Saccharomyces cerevisiae S288C: one gene and its partners. The protein of the gene in region 1 interacts with the protein of each later gene in a biochemical or structural test. Each region holds a gene or a part of one and is shown on either strand. Other genes may lie near its edges. The genes, in order: NEM1, PKC1 and PAH1.

Region 1 (7,249 bases):
GTTGGGTTGAAAACACCGATATAAGAGCTGTAGTAGCAATTAACTTCCACGTATTATTTGCCATTTGTTCGTTCTGCTATCCTAACTAATTGCAGTATTAATACTTTACTAACGCTAGAAAATTTTTTCATAGTCTTGTCTCTTTTCGCTACTGCATAAAATATGAAAAAGAAATCAAAAAACCTGACAGCAAAATGTAAAGTAAGATACGGGCATTTAGCGTGTCACTGCTGAAGATAACGTAAGACTAAAAAAATTTCAAGATTAATTCCCAACCTATATATATATATATATATATATATACTGTTTAGATCAAGTATATCTTCCTGCTAAATAATTAATATGCTCGTATGTAGAAAACAAAAAAGAGGTCTTTTCTCTTTTTTCTCCCGTTACTTTTTTCCCTGAATGCAATAACCTTTCCATTAAATGAGCAGCAATGGATAGGCGATTTATCACCTAAAATTCTCATCTTTTTTGGAAGGACACAATAACAATTGTCAGTTTATGTTGAATGCCTTCTCTCCATGTTTCAATGCCAGTATATTCCTGACATCTGTTGAATACCTCATAGCCTCCAAGAAAGGTAACAGGTTCAGTAAGTCCGTATCAGTTGGATCACTTATCCATCCTTCTACTTGAATAGCGTTATCTACATTCATTGCGTAACTTACCGGGCTGTTATCTATAATAATGACATCATCCAAAGAAGAGGAGCTGCCTTTCCCGTTTTCTTCGGAGTCCTTGACAATGCTCAAATCTTTAATGTATCCAACACCATCCCTTAGAACGCAATCAGAACGGTAATATCTTTTTGAAAAACTGGATGGGAAGGAGCTTTCTAACCAATCTATCACAGGATCAGCGTATTCTTTCATGGATGCTGTAAAAATGATAAGGTCGTACCATTTGCTAACTTTTGTCAAAAATAAATCACAGTAAGGCCTCTTGTGAATAAAGTATAGTGTACGAATTCCGCTCAATCCAAACTTCACTTCCACCAAGTGACCCTGAGAAGAATTACTATGCGTTGTACTTCGAGAAGCCGAGTGAATTAAGGTCTCATCGAGATCTATAACCAGTTTCTTTTTCTTTTGTGTGTTAAGCACGGATTTAGGTATCAGCTTCTTTGGAAATAAGAACCTTCCCATTCGTTTTGTACCAAATACGGTATTAGAACTTGAATGATTAGAAAGTGATAGTTCTGATTTGGAATAACTTCTTGGCCTTGATTTGACAGATTGAGCTCTAAGTAATGAGCCTTTAACATTATCCCTTTGTAGAATTATCTCATCACTGGCATTTAAGTCATCCTCAACTGCCTCGGGAATCGTATTTAGATTGCAATTTTTAGGATTTGTTTTCTCGCTAGAATCGTTAATATTGCTTGAACTGACAGGCAGCTCATTCTCACTAGCATTTGAACCCCTGTTTCTCTTATCGGTGTGTTTTACACGACGCTCGATGACACTTAGTGGGAAGGTAAAAACAAACCATAAAGACATCAAGGGCTTGATTATCAGATAATACGGAAGAAAAAGTAGTAGTGCCCACAAAATTGACGCTATTTTCTCTATTAGGATGGAACGTAAAGCTTTTGGTTTTTTAGGAACAGAATTTTTGCGCTCTTGATTTTGATCAGATTCTTTTAAGTGGCTTGAGGAGTGGTCGTACTGTTGGTCCACCTCACTAACGCAATCATTTTCGCTGTGGCTAGTATATTTGTTCGAAACTTCCTTTGAAGGGCCTAGTAGATCTTGATTCTTTGTCACCTCAACATTGATTTTTTTTTGTTTCTTTGTAGTTATTAAATGATTTGAGAAATATTTTAGGGCATTCATTCAATTAATGAAACAATGTCCAGAAATTAACAACAATAAAGAAAAGTGAGAATAGGATGCAAAATAGGTTCTATATATCCCGAGTATTTACCAGGGAGAAGAATTCGAGATAATACCCTGTCCTTACGTAGAAGAATCAATTGTTTTCAAGAGTTTTTCTTCTAAAAAAGTGTCTGGACCTTTTTTTTCTCATGCGATTTTATTACCCTTGTTTTTCAATTGAAAACCCGGAACGATTTAACGAGATCAAGAACTGTTGAACAAAATGGCTTTTTCATTTGGCATTCCATCATAGACTCTAATGGAGAAGAAAAATAGTAATTTTTTCTGGTGCTGCTGCTCCTTCTTGCATCTTCGGAAACAGAATTTACGTATCTAAACACTACTTTAATTATACAGTTCCTTCATATAATACCAATTTTTTTAAGGTTTTGCTGGATGATTAGATCGGTGACTGCACTCAATACGAACTTCATAGTTTGGGTATCGGTAGCGCAGGTTCGTTTCACGTAGATTGGTTTGTTTGTCTTATTCAAGCTCAAAAATATCTTCTCAAAATATTTTAGACCCGCTTCTGCATCGCCGACACGTCCCTGGTAATCAGGAAAGTACTTTCTTATGGGCATGCTTTTTACCTTTTCCTCGAACAAATCAATTTTATTTAAAAACAAAATAAACGGTGTATCTTTGAACCACTTAGAGTTCAATAACGTGTCAAATAGCATTATTGATTCATGCATTCTGTTCACTCTTTCATCCTCAAACAACATCTGGTCGTATTCACTCATTGCTAAAACAAATAAAACTGCTGTAATTCCTTCGAAACAATGAATCCACTTCTTACGTTCAGAACGCTGCCCACCAGCGTCGAGAACCTTGAATTTGGACGAGCCGATGTTAAATTCGGTTTCTGTAATGCCTGTAGTCTTTATACGGCCCTTCAAAATGTCTTCATCCGTACAGACATAATTCGGACTAGCAAATTTCTCAATGTTATCAAAGTAGTATGCAGCTGAGCCCTCCAATTGAAACTCATTAGAACGTGCAAAACACTGCTTTATACCTTTGTCGTTATTCCAAAGTTGCTTTATTGCCTTAGCAATGTCTTCGTGAATAAGATTTCGTCTATTTTGTCCTTGAATTTCCCTTGATGTTTTTCTAACAAACATCTGGTCATCGCCTTCTTGGTTCAAGTCCTTGCAAATATCCTGTAGGTTAATTCTACTACTGTTGTTTCTATCAGCATCCTCATTTTGCGTCACCGTTTCAGCATCTCTGTCAGTGTCACTTTTGACATTAGAAATATTTCCGTCTTCATCGAAAGCAGCTTTTGCTCGTCCGGTACTCTGAACACGCCTCCTAGTTTCATACCTTTCTGAGTACTTCAGTACATAATCATTTAGAAAATCAGAACCACCGGCAACACTGGCGTTGATATAATCTAAAGCTTTAGCCTTTAGCAGTATTCTCTTGCATGCAAACAAATCTTTATTGTTGATCGGATCATCACAGTCAAGTTGAATACCTAGTTTTCTGGCCTGAATAATCAAAATTTTCATTGATTGTATGGCATCTGCCCATATCACTTGAGCATACTGTAACCTTTCTTGATGGGAGAAACCGCCTTGATGTAATAATTTTAATTGTTTTAAAACCGTTGATTTACCTGACTCACCGGCACCTAATAGTAACAGTTTTATTTCATTCTTGTCACGTTGTTTCTCCAGCTGCAACGATTGCTCGATGACATCATTGGCTCTTTTGTTCTGTAGAAAAGGATCACTTTCGTCTCCTATTGTTTGCGTACTCACTGTACACCCCATTATTTCCTACCTTAATATATCAATTTATACACCTCTGGATTATTGATGTGATGCTAAAATACCAATTTACAGTATGAATAGCTTCTACTCAGTTTGGTCTTAGAAATGGTCAAAAATGTTAGAAACGGAGTGACAAGAAAAAATGAATAACAGATCAAAAGATTACGAATAATATAAAACGTAAAGAAATTGGTGGAATTCTACTATCCTCTTCATTTTAGACTATTTTTTAATATTTCCCTTTAAGGAAAACAATATGTAACAAAAAAATTTCTGCTCTCCATTTAATTGCATTTCTACAAGGAAGAATACGCAGAAGGACGCGCAGAGCCCTAAATTGATGTGCTTTTTAACATGCTGAGCCGAGTGCGTTTCGGTGAAATAACACGAAGATGCGTTTCAAATTGAAACTAGTCAGTGTTATCTGCATGAAAAGGGAATATCGTTATGCATTCAGTTTTCCAATAGAGACATTTTTTTTTTTTTAGATTCGGCTTGCTTTATCCACCTATGATCTTGTTTTCAAACAACATGTGCCATGTAAGATAAAAAGGTAAAGATGAAGTACAGAAAAGAGTATAATGTTACTTGTATATACAGGATATGAATCAATAATACTAATTATAACGTTGAGTCGAGTAAAACAGCTTATGGATTTCTTTTCTTATTTTCGTCTTATCATTACTGCTTTAATGCACATTTCTAAAACTTACCGGCTGCGTTAAATGATTGGCCCATTTTCTGCATGTTTTCACCGACTTGAACATTGGTCTCAAAATATTTGGCCACACATCTGTCTAGGCACGAAGATTCATTCTTATTCAGCTCACCCTCGGAATAAGAAGTATTGATACATTTTTTATAACAGTTATTAACCAATTTATTGAACATGTCTGTGACCAAATCTAGTTCAGCTTCCGCAGCTTGAATCTTTTGTTGAGATGATAATTGAGGCTGACCACCACCGAAACCTAAGAAAGACATGTTTTTCTAAGTATGATAGTTCCTTCTTTTGCTTGTTTATCTGTTAAAAGACATGAGAGGGGAACGAGGAGAGTAATAGTTCTTTAGAGAGCTTGCTCTTGTACGTTCACTGCCAGCTCTCTCGCTGAAAAAATTAAAGAAAAAAAATGTCCGATAGCTTCAGAGGGTGATCATCAGCTACGAATTGGGAAATCAATGCAAAAAATGCTTCCAATCGGATTTGAACCGATGATCTCCACATTACTAGTGTGGCGCCTTACCAACTTGGCCATAGAAGCTCTAATAGTGATAGGACCCAGATTATATTTAGTGACTTGTTGATAAATGTTTTAAAATATTACCTTCGTGTCGTTATCGTTACTGAGGAAAGATTTGCAAAAAATAATTACATACTTGGGCTCTTCTGAACGAACAAGTTAACCAAAAAGGTGTATATTACTTCCTCTTGTTTTGTTTCCGGGCTAATGCTTACCTTTCCTTTGTTTCCAATGTTCTTCTTTAACACCAAAACATACTATTTGAGAAATGGGTGAATGTTGAGATAATTGTTGGGATTCCATTTTTGATAAAGGCTATAATATTAGGTATACAGAATATACTAGAAGTTCTCCTCGAGGATATAGGAATCCTCAAAATGGAATCTATATTTCTATTTACTAATATCACGATTATTCCTCATTCCGTTTTATATGTTTCATTATCCTATTACATTATCAATCCTTGCACTTCAGCTTCCTCTAACATCGATGACAGCTTCTCATAACTTATGTCATCATCTTAACACCGTATATGATAATATATTGATAATATAACTATTAGTTGATAGACGATAGTGGATTTTTATTCCAACACTATTTGAGGTTTGGCAACTGTTGAAATTATTGTTAGGACATTGTTAAAAAAGGTTCTTTTATTAGGTCTACAAAAACAAAAAAAGTTTTTTCACGAGGACAGCGTGAATCACAAAGGTGAGGTCAATAGTTTTACATAATAATAAATAACGTTTTTTTTTTCTTCCTTTCATGTGTTGCCTTTCTTTATCCAATTACATTGTCAGCCCTTACATTTCAGTGCCTATTGAATTTGTTGACCACTTCCCATCAGCAATACCATCCTCTTACGCAATATATGATAATATACCCGCGACATAAATATTAGGTTAAAAACAGACGGCAAAATGTGCCTTGGGCGGCAAAATCATGAGAAGCGCACATGTCGTGATATCAATAGCACGGAATTCCAGAAGAGAGAAAATACCAGCACTTATAACAAATGATCACAGTAAGCGTGAAAAAGAAGAGCCTGTTGCTACAAAGAACATTGAAATGATAAAATAGTGAAAGAATTCCAATGAATGGGAATATGGATGGCATTTTGGCAAGAAATTGGGCGGTAAATTTTCGTAAAGCTGATTGATGGTCAGCAAAACTCTCTTCAGAAGAACCAGAGAAATGGGCCAATTCTCACGAAGAAAATTCTTATAGTGTGTAAGCATAGGTAACGATCACGATACCATTAATTACCTGCAGTCAAGAACGAGATTTATTAACTGAAGAAAAAAAACAGACCATTTCCCACAAAAATTGTCGACGTTTAACTTGTGACTGATAGAAAGTTATAAAGTAAGCTATTAATGGAGGTTCTGAACGCATGACATGCTCCTCTAAGGGCTAGAATAGAGATTATAATGTTATTTGAAGATTGAAAGTCTGTTACCCTTCTTAGAGTCATCCATTCGAACGAAGAGTATCTTTTTTTAGAATTCTTATCATTTTTTTTTTCTCTTCACATTCCAATACGGGCAAAAAGCGAGAAAAACGATGATTAATAAATGAAAAACAGTGATTAATCATCCGACAAACAGACAAATGCAAGAGAGCAAAAAGTTGGGGAAGTAAGGAAATCCATTATCATGCCTATCTTATCACTATCTTCAACACGGAACAGCGTGTTAACAAGGATATATGACTACCTTAAAGCATTAGTGCAGCAAGTGATTGTGCCCAATGTGGAAGACGACAAATCTTCGAAAAGTACTCCTTTCGAAAAGTTAGAACCTGCGAAACAGAACCATCCACAGAAAGACTGCTGTGCTACCGAAAAGGACGATCTGGTTGACGTGAGCGAATTATTTCCCAAACAGAACAACAAACAATTGAGTCTAACATCAAAATCTTCAGTTGTACCCTGTGCTTTAAATTTGGATAACCTAGAAACACCTTTCTCAATTAAAATTGATAATAATGGTGCAGTCACTACACAGTTGAACTTGGACGAACCGATTTTACGGGGCCCTAGCCGCGGCGAGCCAGCAAAGTTACAGAATGACTTGATAAGTTCTCCCCCGCTAGAGGAATCCTATATCAATAATGACCAGTACAAAGCTCTTTTCCCCTCTAATTTCCTTCCAATCACGCCCGTAAGTAGCGTAATCACTCCTGCATCGAAGAAAAGTATTGATGAATCTCCCCTATCCGATGAGGTTCAAGGAATTGCTGATGAGTCATCCGAAACTTTACCATATATATGTCACTATTGCGATGCTAGGTTCCGAATCAGAGGTTACTTAACACGACACATAAAAAAGCATGCGAAAAGGAA
Region 2 (9,021 bases), on another chromosome or scaffold:
CAGTTACTTCACTGTGTGAAGCATCCCATATTCTGACTGAACCATTACTATGCCCAGTTAGTAAAGCAGATCTGGTCTCATGCCTTCTAATATTTCTGGTGGCAGGAATACCACCTTTTAAAAACGATTCACTTTGAGCGATTGTCATCATCCCCAGCCAAAGATTTTTTTGAACTGATTGCGCTATACAAGTAGTAACCGTTGGTCGAACCCATGCTAAGCTCCGAGGGAAAATGGAGGCCTTGGAACTAAAAGAGCCTGCTGGGTATATCAATGTTTCAAGTTCGCCATCTTCTAAAAGTAATAAAATGAGGTTTGTGTCATGGCATCCACCAAAATATGGAGAAGCCTTCGGCAAGGGTAGAAAATTTATTAGTGGAGCTTTGCCAATCAACGAAAATAGTTTTTGTTGAACCGGTTTAGCATAGTACTTGCTCATTGCGTCAAATGATGTCACAGAATACATTGGTGTGCCGCCTAAGTCAATCATGGTTATTTCCTGAGGTAAACAGGGATTTTCTGTAGCTTTTGTTGCAATCAACAACGATGTATACTCAGGATTACGCTGGCAAAGCCAGCTTACTTTAAAGATAGCGGGTGTTTCTGTAAAGGAACAGTCTTTCAAGGCAGGATTTGGAAAATTCACATGTGTTTCAAATATACTTCTAGCGTGAATCAGTTTACCGCTATTGACATCCCAAAATACCAAGGAATTATCTTCATGGACAGTTAATATATGTAAGGAATTTGGGTGATAAAGTGACTGAATGACCTTTGGAGTGCGTTTCTTTTCTATGTTTGTGGATAGATCACCGCCCGGAGCATACGGTTCTAATTGGTAAAAAAAATGTTGCTTGACTTTGTAGTCAATGAAAGAATATATGACTGTAATATGCTCATATGATATAAGTATCGTTCCTATGTCTCTAGGATTCCATTGGATAGAAATAACCGGTGATAGCCTCTCTTTTGGCAAAAACACACTTTTCTGGAAGTTTTCAATTTTCAATTTGGACATTTGATTTCTATCCACATCATAGATCAATATGGATCCACTCTCGAGGCCAATCAGCATCCAATCCAAGGACGGATCAGTCTCAATACAAGTGATGCTGTTTGGACAGAAAACAGTAGTTAGAATCTGTTTCGAGTGTACTGAAAGAACTATTATGTTGCTCTTCTCATCTACAGCTATCAGATAAATTCCTTTAATAAACCGCATGTGTTTAATTTGAGGTCGATTTTTTAACGTAAATACGACCTCTATTTGCTTTTGCCCATAAACATGTATCTCCCCAGCAGTAGTTGCAACTGCCAAAAGGCTTTGAGTATAGTCGAATGTGGTAACAGTGATTCGTCCATTTATGCCGTATGTGCATATTTTCTTAGTATCGAAAAATTTGGAGTTAATACCATTTGAGACGTCATGAACTCTCGCGGATTTGATAGCATTTGACACATTCTTCAAATGCCTGCTTTTCTTAAACATTTATAAAATTTTTGTATCTGTTCAATTGACAATTTTGTAACTTTTATAATCTGTCAACTTTAGAAATATGTTAGTAGTAATATAATACTGAGCTGTTTCTTAAATGCTTCCTTAATAATGTAAACAGAATGCGCATTGTTGAACATACGGCTTCGCATCGCATCGCTTAAACGAGGTTTTTCATATGCATGCTCCAAGATAGGTACGAACAAAAAAGAGGCATTGCATCAAAATGGATAGTTTCAGTTTATGTAACAAAATCTCATTAAAAAAACCCTCTCCTCCTATGAAGCGGAACAGTTCAACTTTTCCGCTTAGATGTTTTATATAAAATTAAATAAATCATGGCATGACCTTTTCTTCATAAATCCAAATCATCTGGCATAAAGGAAAATCCTCTAAACTCTTCTTGCTGGCTCGTTGTCAAAACAGAGGGCAGAGGTGTAAGTGTGGGTGGCGCAGAGGTGAATTCTTGCTCGAAATATGATGTATCTTCCGGAGATTTAATTTCTGGGATGTAGGGTGGTTTCACGCGAAGGTTTAAGATATCGTCAAAGTTGATGTTACGGAAGAAAGGTTCTTCCATAACTTCGTCTGCGTCCCTGGGACCAGCACCCAACCTCTTTTCAGGATCTTTTGTTAATAGGCCTTGGAATATTTGTACAATCTCACCTGCCATATCTATTGGGTATAAGGGTTCATCGGTAAGGATAGCGTTAAAAACTTCATCTTCGTCATCTCCTGAGAATGGAGATTGGCACAGTAGCATTTGATATAGCAGCACCCCAAATGCCCACCAATCGACAGCTTTGGTATATTCTTGCTCTTTTAAAATTTCTGGAGCCATAAATTCTGGTGTGCCACAAAATGTAGAAGTTCTATTACCATACCACATTTCATCTTTACACAAACCATAATCGGCAATTTTTATATGACCTTCTGGAGTTAATAGAATGTTTTCCAACTTCAAATCACGGTATATTACACCATTATCATGAAAATATTTCAGAGCCAGTAAGACCTCGGCGGCATAAAATTTGGCCCTTCTTACAGATAGTCTTTGGTTTTGAACATGCCACATTAAGTCACCGCCCCCAATAAACTCCATAGCAAAATATATACGGTTTTCAGTTTGAAAAGAGCAGTATAGATTGGTTAAGAATGGGTGTTTAGTTTTTGTGGCTAACAAAAATACTTTCTTTTCTGCTCTTGCACTCTCGATGTCATGATTTTGAATAATATTATCTTTCTTCAGAACTTTTATGGCACAAAGCCTGTCAGTATTCTTTGATTTAGATAAAATAACTTTACCAAAATTACCTTTACCAAGAACTTTGAGTAATACGAAATTATCTAATGAAACCTTACGACGTTTAGCCGCTCTCTTTTTATGCTTTGCGCTTGTGCTGGTTTGTGATTTCTGCGGAGATTGTTGATCAGTGGTTCTGGAGGCATGAGTACTTGTAGGAGCCAAGGACACTGTTTCTTGTAGTACTTCCTTTGAAGCATGGTCTTGTTCAATTTGAAAGGTTTCACTATTCATATCGCGGAATGGATTTGTGTGTGTGGAATCTATTGTCAAATCAGCTTCACGGAAATCATTTTTGTTCTCCCAGTCTAGTTTCTGTTTGGTCTCTAAATCAATGTGATCAACTTCTAGATCCTCTTGGATTTCCCCACTATCTTGTTTTATTTCAAGTTCCATTTCCTCACGTTGTGCTTTCCACAGTTCAAGTTCATCTCTCATTAAATCATCTTTAGATTCCCAAGTTTGACTATGCTCAATAGATAAATCAGTGAGTCCCAAGGAACGTCTATTCGACGTTGGATCCAGTGTTTTCTCTGGTGATGAAAATTCGGCGGTTTGTTGTGCACCTTCTGTAAAATTTAAATAGGCCTCATTTTCATCGATAAATTTATTTAGTTTCTCACGCCCGTGCGTTTGTAGTGAAATTCTTTTATCAATAATAGGATCATGCTGCTTAGTTGGAGAATCTCTTCCTACCTTCTGAGGCGAAGGAGTTTTATCATGTTTTCTTGGCTGAGGAGGCAAAGGAGCGTTTGCCCTTTCAGCTAATTTGGATGGGGAAAGATCACTACCATTGGCAGTACCAATAGATGACCCCAACTGTGCCGACGGAACTGTCCTCTTCTTTTTCTCTTGATTACGTTTTGTGTCTTGAATCGTTTTCAGAATTTTATTAGCCATTTCCATCGACATGCCACAGAAATCGGGAACCAAATGAGCACATTGAGCATGACACATTATACCACATTCAGAACATTTGCGTACTTTATGTCTACCCCATGGTAAAATATAACCACAGTGACAGCACCATTTAGTACCACGGTTTGAAGTAGGCAGGAATCTATGAGGAATACGGTGGTTCAACTTTGCCTCGTCCGGATCCGTATCAGTAGAAGTTTTAGCAATACACTTAGTAACAACATTGGTGTAACATTTTTTGTGACATAAAAATTTACAATCTTGACATTGGAACCCAGTATACCGAAGGAAATCACCACAATATGCACAGCACATAATGTTGTAAAATGATTTTTGTACAAAGTGGTGGCCATGCTGTTCGAATATCTCTTCTTTCCTATTGATAATAGCACCATGACGATGTAGTCCACCCATCAACTGCTTCCTTTCTATTTGAGAAGACTTGTGGAATCCTAGTGTTAACAAAATCTGCCCGGATGGTTCTAAGACAAACCATGAATTCGTACTGATTTGACTAGTTGATGTATTTTCGCCTTGCACATTCTTTGCTGAAGTAGACTGAATGGCTGAGTTTGAGTATGTAGAAGTCAATGTGCTTCCCTCTTCGCTAGCGAGAGAAGAACCACCATTAATGTTTGAAGCGTTGACCCATCCTTGTTGTTCATTTGTTTGTCCGGCTTTCTTCTTACGAATTTCTTCAGCGATATCGGAAAGCAGTAACCACATTATAGCCACTGGAATGAGCGAGTCGTTCACCTTATCATATACAGTAATCTCGATTTCATTCCCTTTTTCAACTGGAATTTGAAAATCTTCACTCCACCTGTCATTTCTAGAAGGCTTCGTTCTGGCTTTGATCGTATCATCGATTTTTATAGTAACGTAGCTCTCTGGCTTCCTGGCAAACATCGGTGATTGTATATGGTCAACATCTCTAGCAGCAGTTATTCCAATTGTTAGAACGCCAGTCAGTTGTTTTCTTCGGAATTTCGGTTGTTGATTATCCATTATGTCATTGGGTTGGTGTTTAAATTGATCAAAGTCAACGTTAATAGCTTGGTATTTCTTCAAAGCTTTGTTAAGCATTTGAATCCTGTATTTGGATTCCATAGCACCCCCTTCTGCCGCAGAACTACTACGTTGATCACCGTCAATTTGATACAATTTAGTCAATTTAGTATTGGCTTCTTGGTATTGCTTTTCCACCTGTAATTTGAATTCTAATTGTTGCAACATGTATTGGATTCTTTGCGCCAAAGAAGGGCAATCATATTTTACTAAATCCAAACGAGAAAATATGTGTTCATTTGGCGATTTGGTAGAAAGAAACCCGTATTCCTTCGAATTGCATCGCTCATTATCTTCGCTGCCATTTTCACCCTGACTTTGTTGAGCGGTCTTCAACCGTAATTTTTTTAAGCTATCCTCCAAGTACTCAAGATTTTGACGTGCCTCTCTAATATTCGTATTACATTTCTGAATGACCATAACATTGCTAGTCTTTTTCTTGAGGGCAGAAGCTCCCCGAATAATATTTTCTTCGACGGCTATCTTTTTTTTAATGTTCTGCTCCAATTGTGAAAAACTCATGACTGTAAACTGCTCCCTATATGTGTGATACTATACTTACTTTTCCTCGCTAGAGCTTCTCTCCGCAGCTACTGTTCTAGGTTTTATTCCTATTGATTATCTAATATAGTTTTAAAAATCTATACTGAAAGGGGATCGACGCTGAATACCTCTAACGTAAGTGTGGACGAGTGGTGGCAGAGACTTTTACAATGGTTAATAATCAGTCTCTACTCAGCCAAATTGAATAGCAGTGAAATCGTAGCTCTTTTACTGCTCCTGAACCTGTCGTATTACTTTCGATAGAGTAGATCAACTTTATTATCCACGCTTGTTAACTCTTTTCGTCGGTTTTTTTCGCCTTTAAAACTAGGCGGGCTGGGTAATGAAGATAGCAATGCCTCATAAATACAATGTTATACTAATTACGTTTTTTCTTTGGTTATGTATATATATTGTGAGAATAAAGAGAAGTTGCAAGATTTGGTTTATTGTACAATACTACTTATTACACTGGCAGGTGCAACCTGGAGTGGGACAAACATTATGTCTGTCAAACCATTCTTCAGCGTGACCGGCATGCATACCATGGTTGCAACTCAAACAGAAGCTGAACCACTCGTTCAACTTCAGTTTTCTACTTACGAGTTCGCGATTTGCACCATCTTGAGAGTCTTCTGTCTGCATTGGATCGCGTGATTGCGTCCCATTTATTACAAAAGGTAAGTTTGACGTTCCTAGAGGCATGAGACATATGGCACATCTTGGAAATGAAGACCCACAGTGTGGGCAACAATACTTATGTCTTGGCTTTTCATCAGCTGCTTGTGCTTCAGAACTTCCAGTATTAAATTTCTTGTAGTCAGCGTTATTTCTTCTATAGGCTTCACCATTTTTGTAATTTCCAGCACTAGTAGAGACGGCGCTAGAAGGTGAGGATGTGCGCGGAGTGTTGATGTTTTGTTTACAGTTTTGACATTGGATATATATTTGCCGGGGCTTTATGTCTGCAGTTAATACACCAGTTTTAGTTCTCGATAATTTTGATCTTAAAACATCGAACCTGGCTCGCATGGAGAATAATTCCCACGATTTAAGCATATCTCTATAAGTTTGTATCCATTCATCTACTCGTTGGTCGCGGAAATATCTAGGGGAGCCGAAAATTGATATCAGTGCGGCACTCTGAACATCGCTGGTTTTATTAACGTATGATTGCAGTAGATCGATACCATTAGGTGTTATTCCGGTGAGAATTAAACCTTCTAATTCGCCGTTTTCAATAACTGTAGATGAAGTTCTATCTAAGAAAGTGGTTAGGTCTGTATCATTCAAAAACCTTAGAGCTACCCCTAATCGTTCTCTCAAAGATATGGCAGGTTCATAAAGAATATCCCACCAATCATTGTCTGCGATAAAGGCGAAAATAACTCTCAAGTAAGGATCATCTAATTCGGAGGACATTTTTCTGCATTGCTGCCTCCATGCATTGTTACCTGGCAGATCCTTATACGCCAAGTAACCTGCAATAGCGGTGGCAATTAGTCTCAATCTTTCCTTTTTTGCAGATCCCAATATTTCTACAGCCTTTGGGATATCACCAAAAAATACCGCCCAAGCGGCAGCTTTTTCATAATGGCCGTTTTTCATAATTATGTTGTACTTGTCTTCATAATCAGATCTGGAAAGGTCCCATCCTGAGATAATTAAACAGAGTCTTCTCTGAACGTACTTTGGTGAACCAGCGGCATTGGCAATAGGACTGTTCCGATCCCTATTTTTCCTTCTTAGTTTGATGATTTTTTCCATTTCTTTATTTAGTTGTTTATCAGAAAGAATTGTCTCTTGTCTATATCTGTCTTGGTTCGATATTCCGTTTATACCATTCCAAATACCTATCACACCTTCGTAACCTAAGTCAAGATCACCAGAAACCATCGTACCATCGTCAACAGAAGCCTTTGCAATCGCGATCCACCTCCATGTGTTCCTTATATAAGCATTGTTTTGTAGATTTTTAGAAGAATCAATCATCTCTACCGTGTTCATTGGATCCAAACCATATCCCAATGAAGCTCGCGTCCTCATTATTACACTTATATCTTTTTCCAGAAGTTTTTCTGGCTTCCAGAACAGTTCAAATCCACGCTTACTGTCAAGGACATCATTACTCCCTTCATTTTCCTCTTCACTCAACTCGGAGTACTCAATTTCATTATTAGGTTCATCATGTCCAGACGGAAAGTAATCTTCGCTAACATCTAAATCCTCAAACGATAGATTCTTTAGGATTGTTTTTACATTCTCTAAGTTGGACTTTTCATGCTCATTGTTGACTCTAATTTCATCTATCTCAGTATTTTCAAAATTTGACAATAAGAGAGAGTTCCTATTATTGAGTATAGCCTTGGAGCATACCTCTGAAATTGGCATTCTGTATATTGTTCCCGATTGTCTCATACAGATTAGACTTGTTCCATTATTACTTCTTGGAATATAATCAAATGTAGCAACTCTATCGTACATCGTATTTGTGTCATGCACGGAAGAAACAAACAAATTCTCAATATTCATCTCGTTATCGTCATCTGCCGCAATATCACGATTGCTATCGCAGTAATAGCCTAACCTCCATCTTTTGATGGTATCACCTCTATGTAAGGTGGCAAATTCATTGTTCCTCACACATGACCACCTAAAGCAAGAGTTCATGTATTTCCTTGACGCTGCACCGGATCCAACCAATTTTTCAAAAGTTAATAAAGGGGAAGCTACATTTAAATCACCAAGTGAAGCTTGGTCAGATAATTTTCTCCTATCCCAAATAGCTAAGGTCCCATCATCCCCATAAGTACTAAATTGCCAATCGTTAAACGGGTTCAGTTTGATATCATACGTCAATCGTGTCGGATGTTGATAAATTGGGTTGGGGGATCTGACGTCAATTTCTTTCAAAAATTTCGTACTTGCAGCCAATACACTGGTATCGTTGAGGAACTTTAGGGATACTATGCTTTCATTTGTGCAATAACTAAACATTGGGTTGATAGTTTCATGCGAATCATCATGATAATTCATGTCCCAAATTTGTAAAGATGAATCATGCTTATTTCTGTCAAGACCCATTGCTATAAGACCATTCGTATTTATTCCCAGAGAGTTTATACACCGCTGCTTCTTTGCTCGTACACGTATATCATAATTGGTTTCTGAAACAGGGTACCCTTGGGTATCCTTTAAATTTGAGACAGATCCAACTATATTTTCCGCCTGAGCTGCCTTACCACCGCTGGCATTTGTCATAGAAGTCTCGTTATTGGCATTTAAGCCCACTGGCGCATGGCTCGCTGGCGATGAGGAATTTTGTCCAGAGATATTAAAAATCCTTAAATATCCATTCTTTTCACCAACTCCAATCATACCAATTTCTGATTCTGAATAGTCTAAGCAGGTGATACTGCCGAAGTCTTTCACAGTGTGTAATTTAATAATTGATTCATCAGATTCATTTTCCGGATCCACTTTATAGTGGGTCACTTCATCTCTTGTAGGGTTCACTGAAAGATAATCAATCAAATTATCATATGACCAATGGGTCACTTTTTTGATGAGACCCATGTTTATTCTTCTATACGTTCGTGATACTGCACTTACGACTACCAGTAACATCAGAATAACCATAGAGCTTATGCTATCTTGAAATATATCATCGCCGTAAAGTATGATGTGTAGCGCA
Region 3 (8,086 bases), on another chromosome or scaffold:
GACATCAGAAGGAACTCCAGATCAACCAAATAATAACCGAAAAGATGATAAACTGCACAAAAAAAGAGGCGATTCAGATGAGGACTTAAGCCCTATATGGCATTGTGTCGTCTCCGGTGGGATTGGTGGAAAAATAGGAGATTCTGCGATGCATTCATTGGATACTGTTAAGACAAGACAACAGGGCGCACCCAATGTCAAAAAATACAGGAACATGATCTCTGCATATCGTACCATTTGGCTAGAAGAAGGCGTGAGAAGGGGGCTATACGGCGGTTACATGGCTGCCATGTTAGGCTCCTTCCCGTCAGCGGCAATCTTCTTTGGGACCTATGAATATACTAAGAGAACAATGATAGAAGATTGGCAGATTAACGATACCATCACACATTTGAGCGCTGGATTTCTTGGCGATTTTATCTCCAGTTTTGTTTATGTTCCATCAGAGGTCCTAAAGACAAGGCTACAATTGCAAGGAAGGTTCAATAATCCTTTCTTTCAATCTGGCTATAATTATTCGAATTTAAGAAATGCCATAAAGACAGTTATAAAAGAAGAAGGGTTTCGCTCACTATTTTTTGGATACAAAGCCACTTTAGCCAGAGATTTGCCATTTAGTGCATTGCAGTTTGCCTTCTACGAAAAGTTTAGGCAATTGGCTTTCAAGATTGAACAGAAAGATGGTAGGGATGGTGAGTTGTCTATACCTAATGAAATATTGACTGGTGCCTGTGCAGGTGGACTGGCGGGAATCATTACCACACCAATGGATGTTGTTAAGACTAGAGTCCAAACTCAACAGCCGCCCAGCCAAAGCAACAAATCATACTCAGTAACACATCCACATGTAACAAACGGCAGACCGGCAGCACTTTCCAACTCGATTTCGCTCAGCCTTCGGACGGTCTACCAATCTGAAGGTGTGTTAGGTTTCTTTAGTGGCGTTGGCCCTAGATTCGTCTGGACAAGTGTTCAGAGCAGTATAATGTTGCTTCTGTATCAAATGACCCTACGCGGATTAAGTAACGCATTTCCAACGGACTAAGAGCCTGATTTCTGGCTCATCTAACTCTCTAGAGGATAATTTTATGTGATAAAACTTTTCCTACAAGCGGCTACAATAAAGACAGTACAAGGGACCTCACCCTATTCGCCATCACTGCACATCACAGTGGGTCTTGTACTTATCATTTCACATACATAGATATAGGTTCTTCCGAATAAGTTTTGTATATAGTCATTTACGGCAAGAATACTCATCTAAGTTTAATACGCATTTCTCTCTTCGTTCGCAGTTCCTAACACTGAGCGTTCTTGTTTGGAGGGCTCGTTTAAAAAAAAGTCTAACAAATGTGACAGATTTGCTTGAACAGGGTCCAAACTCATCTTGTATATCATAACACTACATCACTGGGAGACAAAATCGAAGTGCCCACGTGCTGCTCATTCTCTAAACGGTCTGTCGCGGGCCCTTTTCGTCCTTCGGTTTCCCTCCCTTTAGACAATGGGCTCTCTTTTCTCTATTATCTATCTCTTTTTCTCGGCTTTTCCGGCCAGCGTTGAAAGCAGCGCACGGTGAGGGTAGAAGGAAGAGCAAGGACAAGTGAAGAGTAGGCCATCGTGGGGGCTTGTGTTTATAAAGAAAATACATTCAACAATTTAGTAAAACGTGTTCAAGAAGTGTTAATCAGACCAATTGGACACTACACCTTCGTAATCACAGTTTTACCTTCTAAGAAACATACAGGGAAGAAATTACTGAAGATAGACACATCGGTCGATTATGCAGTACGTAGGCAGAGCTCTTGGGTCTGTGTCTAAAACATGGTCTTCTATCAATCCGGCTACGCTATCAGGTGCTATAGATGTCATTGTAGTGGAGCATCCAGACGGAAGGCTATCATGTTCTCCCTTTCATGTGAGGTTCGGCAAATTTCAAATTCTAAAGCCATCTCAAAAGAAAGTCCAAGTGTTTATAAATGAGAAACTGAGTAATATGCCAATGAAACTGAGTGATTCTGGAGAAGCCTATTTCGTTTTCGAGATGGGTGACCAGGTCACTGATGTCCCTGACGAATTGCTTGTGTCGCCCGTGATGAGCGCCACATCAAGCCCCCCTCAATCACCTGAAACATCCATCTTAGAAGGAGGAACCGAGGGTGAAGGTGAAGGTGAAAATGAAAATAAGAAGAAGGAAAAGAAAGTGCTAGAGGAACCAGATTTTTTAGATATCAATGACACTGGAGATTCAGGCAGTAAAAATAGTGAAACTACAGGGTCGCTTTCTCCTACTGAATCCTCTACAACGACACCACCAGATTCAGTTGAAGAGAGGAAGCTTGTTGAGCAGCGTACAAAGAACTTTCAGCAAAAACTAAACAAAAAACTCACTGAAATCCATATACCCAGTAAACTTGATAACAATGGCGACTTACTACTAGACACTGAAGGTTACAAGCCAAACAAGAATATGATGCATGACACAGACATACAACTGAAGCAGTTGTTAAAGGACGAATTCGGTAATGATTCAGATATTTCCAGTTTTATCAAGGAGGACAAAAATGGCAACATCAAGATCGTAAATCCTTACGAGCACCTTACTGATTTATCTCCTCCAGGTACGCCTCCAACAATGGCCACAAGCGGATCAGTTTTAGGCTTAGATGCAATGGAATCAGGAAGTACTTTGAATTCGTTATCTTCTTCACCTTCTGGTTCCGATACTGAGGACGAAACATCATTTAGCAAAGAACAAAGCAGTAAAAGTGAAAAAACTAGCAAGAAAGGAACAGCAGGGAGCGGTGAGACCGAGAAAAGATACATACGAACGATAAGATTGACTAATGACCAGTTAAAGTGCCTAAATTTAACTTATGGTGAAAATGATCTGAAATTTTCCGTAGATCACGGAAAAGCTATTGTTACGTCAAAATTATTCGTTTGGAGGTGGGATGTTCCAATTGTTATCAGTGATATTGATGGCACCATCACAAAATCGGACGCTTTAGGCCATGTTCTGGCAATGATAGGAAAAGACTGGACGCACTTGGGTGTAGCCAAGTTATTTAGCGAGATCTCCAGGAATGGCTATAATATACTCTATCTAACTGCAAGAAGTGCTGGACAAGCTGATTCCACGAGGAGTTATTTGCGATCAATTGAACAGAATGGCAGCAAACTACCAAATGGGCCTGTGATTTTATCACCCGATAGAACGATGGCTGCGTTAAGGCGGGAAGTAATACTAAAAAAACCTGAAGTCTTTAAAATCGCGTGTCTAAACGACATAAGATCCTTGTATTTTGAAGACAGTGATAACGAAGTGGATACAGAGGAAAAATCAACACCATTTTTTGCCGGCTTTGGTAATAGGATTACTGATGCTTTATCTTACAGAACTGTGGGGATACCTAGTTCAAGAATTTTCACAATAAATACAGAGGGTGAGGTTCATATGGAATTATTGGAGTTAGCAGGTTACAGAAGCTCCTATATTCATATCAATGAGCTTGTCGATCATTTCTTTCCACCAGTCAGCCTTGATAGTGTCGATCTAAGAACTAATACTTCCATGGTTCCTGGCTCCCCCCCTAATAGAACGTTGGATAACTTTGACTCAGAAATTACTTCAGGTCGCAAAACGCTATTTAGAGGCAATCAGGAAGAGAAATTCACAGACGTAAATTTTTGGAGAGACCCGTTAGTCGACATCGACAACTTATCGGATATTAGCAATGATGATTCTGATAACATCGATGAAGATACTGACGTATCACAACAAAGCAACATTAGTAGAAATAGGGCAAATTCAGTCAAAACCGCCAAGGTCACTAAAGCCCCGCAAAGAAATGTGAGCGGCAGCACAAATAACAACGAAGTTTTAGCCGCTTCGTCTGATGTAGAAAATGCGTCTGACCTGGTGAGTTCCCATAGTAGCTCAGGATCCACGCCCAATAAATCTACAATGTCCAAAGGGGACATTGGAAAACAAATATATTTGGAGCTAGGTTCTCCACTTGCATCGCCAAAACTAAGATATTTAGACGATATGGATGATGAAGACTCCAATTACAATAGAACTAAATCAAGGAGAGCATCTTCTGCAGCCGCGACTAGTATCGATAAAGAGTTCAAAAAGCTCTCTGTGTCAAAGGCCGGCGCTCCAACAAGAATTGTTTCAAAGATCAACGTTTCAAATGACGTACATTCACTTGGGAATTCAGATACCGAATCACGAAGGGAGCAAAGTGTTAATGAAACAGGGCGCAATCAGCTACCCCACAACTCAATGGACGATAAAGATTTGGATTCAAGAGTAAGCGATGAATTCGATGACGATGAATTCGACGAAGATGAATTCGAAGATTAAAGATTCTTGTAGCCGAATATTATTTATAACGATCCATACTGCATATTAAGTAAAATTATGAAGTACTAAGTAACAATTTTTCAATTTTATTTAAGAAAAGAGAAGGAAAAAAAAAAGAAGAAAATTTTTTGATAGAAGAAAAAGGTAAACGATGATTGTTACGTACCAAGTGTTCTTCTGAGCTATTTGGTAATTACATACTTCTTCGAAATGTCAAGGTAAATACTTTTCTATACGCACACGAAACTCGCTTGCTGCAACAGGTATTACGTCAGGTGAAAAAAGCGGCCAAGAGGCAATGCCGAAATACAATGCGTGTATAACAGGAAGAGGAGGGGTATAATAAAATCACCATAGTAGAAAAGACCAGAAAGATTTCTATTGCAATCCTGTGTGACTCTTTTGGTTTTTCCCTTTGGTATCTCCCGGTTCTTTTGTCAATTTTTCGTTAAACTGCAGTGAAATAAGAAAAAGGTGCATGATAAAGATATGGATAACACGACCAATATTAATACAAATGAGCGCTCTAGTAACACGGATTTTAGCTCAGCTCCCAATATCAAAGGTTTGAATAGCCATACTCAGTTGCAGTTTGATGCGGATTCTCGAGTTTTCGTTTCGGATGTAATGGCTAAGAACTCTAAGCAATTATTGTACGCCCATATTTATAACTATTTAATCAAAAACAATTACTGGAACTCTGCCGCAAAATTTTTAAGCGAAGCTGACCTTCCTTTATCTAGAATAAACGGATCTGCTTCGGGTGGGAAAACTAGCTTGAACGCCAGCCTGAAGCAGGGATTAATGGATATTGCATCTAAGGGTGACATTGTTAGTGAAGATGGGCTATTACCTTCGAAAATGCTGATGGACGCTAATGACACGTTTTTACTGGAATGGTGGGAAATTTTTCAATCATTGTTCAATGGAGACCTAGAATCTGGGTACCAACAGGATCATAATCCTTTAAGAGAGAGAATAATACCAATTTTGCCAGCTAATTCTAAATCTAATATGCCTTCCCATTTCTCTAATCTCCCACCAAATGTGATTCCACCAACTCAAAATAGTTTTCCAGTTTCAGAGGAGAGTTTTAGGCCCAATGGTGACGGAAGTAACTTTAATTTAAACGATCCAACCAATCGAAACGTCTCCGAAAGATTTCTATCGAGAACTTCCGGTGTCTACGACAAACAGAATAGCGCTAATTTTGCACCTGATACTGCTATAAACAGTGATATTGCTGGGCAGCAGTACGCAACTATAAATCTACATAAACACTTCAATGATTTGCAATCACCAGCACAGCCCCAGCAATCATCTCAACAGCAGATCCAGCAGCCTCAGCATCAACCCCAGCATCAACCGCAACAGCAACAGCAACAGCAACAACAACAACAACAACAGCAACAGCAACAGCAACAGCAACAGCAGCAACAGCAACAGCAACAGCAACAACATCAACAGCAGCAACAGACACCGTATCCTATTGTCAACCCACAAATGGTCCCTCATATTCCATCGGAAAATTCTCATTCAACCGGACTTATGCCTTCAGTGCCTCCTACAAATCAACAATTTAATGCACAAACCCAATCTTCAATGTTTTCAGACCAGCAGCGCTTCTTTCAATATCAATTACACCACCAAAATCAAGGACAGGCGCCATCTTTTCAGCAAAGCCAATCTGGCAGGTTTGATGACATGAACGCTATGAAAATGTTTTTTCAGCAGCAAGCACTACAGCAAAATTCACTACAGCAAAATCTTGGAAATCAAAATTATCAATCTAATACACGTAACAATACTGCGGAAGAAACTACGCCCACAAATGACAATAACGCAAATGGCAATAGTTTATTGCAAGAACACATACGAGCCCGCTTCAATAAGATGAAAACAATTCCTCAACAAATGAAAAATCAAAGCACTGTCGCAAATCCGGTTGTTAGTGATATAACATCTCAACAGCAGTACATGCATATGATGATGCAAAGAATGGCGGCTAACCAGCAATTACAAAATAGTGCCTTTCCTCCAGACACTAATCGTATAGCGCCAGCTAACAACACTATGCCATTACAACCAGGAAATATGGGGTCTCCTGTCATTGAAAATCCAGGTATGAGGCAGACTAATCCATCCGGACAAAACCCTATGATCAATATGCAGCCCTTATATCAAAATGTTTCTTCCGCAATGCATGCGTTCGCTCCGCAACAACAATTTCATCTACCACAACATTATAAAACCAATACTTCAGTACCACAAAATGATTCTACCTCCGTCTTTCCTTTGCCTAACAATAACAATAACAATAACAACAACAACAATAATAATAATAATAATAATAGTAATAATAGTAATAATAATAATAATAATAATAATAATAATAATAATAGTAATAATACACCCACAGTATCACAACCATCATCAAAATGTACTTCTAGCTCCAGCACAACTCCTAATATAACTACAACAATTCAACCCAAGCGGAAACAGAGAGTGGGTAAAACAAAGACCAAGGAATCAAGAAAAGTTGCTGCAGCTCAGAAAGTTATGAAATCTAAGAAACTGGAACAAAATGGTGATTCAGCTGCTACAAACTTCATCAATGTCACTCCAAAGGACAGTGGCGGTAAGGGTACCGTAAAAGTTCAAAACAGTAACTCGCAGCAACAACTAAATGGCTCTTTTTCTATGGATACAGAAACATTCGACATATTTAACATTGGTGACTTTTCTCCTGATCTAATGGATAGCTAAAACCTATTAAACAACAAAAAGTGTTTCATCGTCATTCTTCCAATACTAACCGTTGCATCTTTTCTTTCATATGAGTAGTATGTTTCTAATTTGAATCTTTAAGAAAATTGTTTGTCTGTATTTGTCGGAACGATTTTTGGGATCATCGTTCAGTGCAGGTGTATCGTTTCTCAAATGAAGTGTGAAACTTACTTCTCACTTAGGTTTTCAAAATAATGGCATATAAAGATGGTCTAACATCTATACATATTTTTGACCAAGCAGGAGTCAATCGTTAGAGTAAGTGAGTATATCAGTTTAGTTATTTTAAATTAGACAATGTAATGGAGGGGTGCCAGTGACACTATATAAAATAAAAAAAAAATTTGCATCTGGTGCGCAATAGCGTTCTTGTAACCAAATTTCTATTCCGGTCGAATTTAAACTAGCAAGAAAATAGGTAAGCAAGCTATCTGGCCAGCTAAAAAGACGGTGCCTCAAAGTTTTCGGAATTTTTATATTTAATTCCTAACATATTTAGAGAAATGTAGCATACTCTTTATACAGAATTCTCCAACTTACTATGGTTTCGTGGTCTAGTCGGTTATGGCATCTGCTTAACACGCAGAACGTCCCCAGTTCGATCCTGGGCGAAATCATTTTTTTGAAGACATCCCGCATGAAAACATCAAAACGTAAATAAAAACACTTGATCTGAAAATAAACTAAACATTCATCTTCACCCAATATCATAAATGATTAGGTGACTACCGGATACTAGACGGTTATAGGAGTTTTATCAAAGGTCAAAATCTCACCCCCTCAATAACTGCTCGGCATACCTCACGCTTATTGCAACAAGTTTGTTTTTACTTACTTGTGAAACGTTTGTTGATTAACTTAATAATGACAACAAACTCACGTCCATCCGCCTTGCAGGCTCCCGGTTTACAGATTTTTTCCATGCTG

Evidence for each region.
Region 2: of the proteins of NEM1 (region 1) and PKC1, one has a biochemical effect on the other in vitro, tested with the Saccharomyces cerevisiae proteins (2 studies listed by BioGRID).
Region 3: of the proteins of NEM1 (region 1) and PAH1, one has a biochemical effect on the other in vitro, tested with the Saccharomyces cerevisiae proteins (8 studies listed by BioGRID).

What each region holds. Positions count from the first base shown.
Region 1 is NC_001140.6:111,254-118,502, forward strand, and holds NEM1 (Nem1-Spo7 phosphatase catalytic subunit NEM1), read right to left. Parts: upstream 1,842-7,249; coding exon 501-1,841; downstream 1-500. Other genes in the region: TCD1 (tRNA threonylcarbamoyladenosine dehydratase), read right to left, coding at 1-64; GPA1 (guanine nucleotide-binding protein subunit alpha), read right to left, coding at 2,246-3,664; protein transporter TIM10, read right to left, coding at 4,367-4,648; STP2 (Stp2p), read left to right, coding at 6,561-7,249. UniProt on the Saccharomyces cerevisiae protein: Catalytic component of the NEM1-SPO7 complex which acts as a phosphatase and dephosphorylates the phosphatidic acid phosphohydrolase PAH1. Essential for the formation of a spherical nucleus and meiotic division.
Region 2 is NC_001134.8:12,391-21,411, forward strand, and holds PKC1 (protein kinase C), read right to left. Parts: upstream 5,307-9,021; coding exon 1,851-5,306; downstream 1-1,850. Other genes in the region: putative Rab GTPase-binding protein SRO77, read right to left, coding at 1-1,489; SEA4 (Sea4p), read right to left, coding at 5,787-8,903. UniProt on the Saccharomyces cerevisiae protein: Required for cell growth and for the G2->M transition of the cell division cycle. Mediates a protein kinase cascade; it activates BCK1 which itself activates MKK1/MKK2.
Region 3 is NC_001145.3:586,326-594,411, reverse strand, and holds PAH1 (phosphatidate phosphatase PAH1), read left to right. Parts: upstream 1-1,783; coding exon 1,784-4,372; downstream 4,373-8,086. Other genes in the region: MME1 (Mme1p), read left to right, coding at 1-1,045; MSS11 (Mss11p), read left to right, coding at 4,862-7,138; INP2 (Inp2p), read left to right, coding at 8,024-8,086. UniProt on the Saccharomyces cerevisiae protein: Mg(2+)-dependent phosphatidate (PA) phosphatase which catalyzes the dephosphorylation of PA to yield diacylglycerol. Required for de novo lipid synthesis and formation of lipid droplets.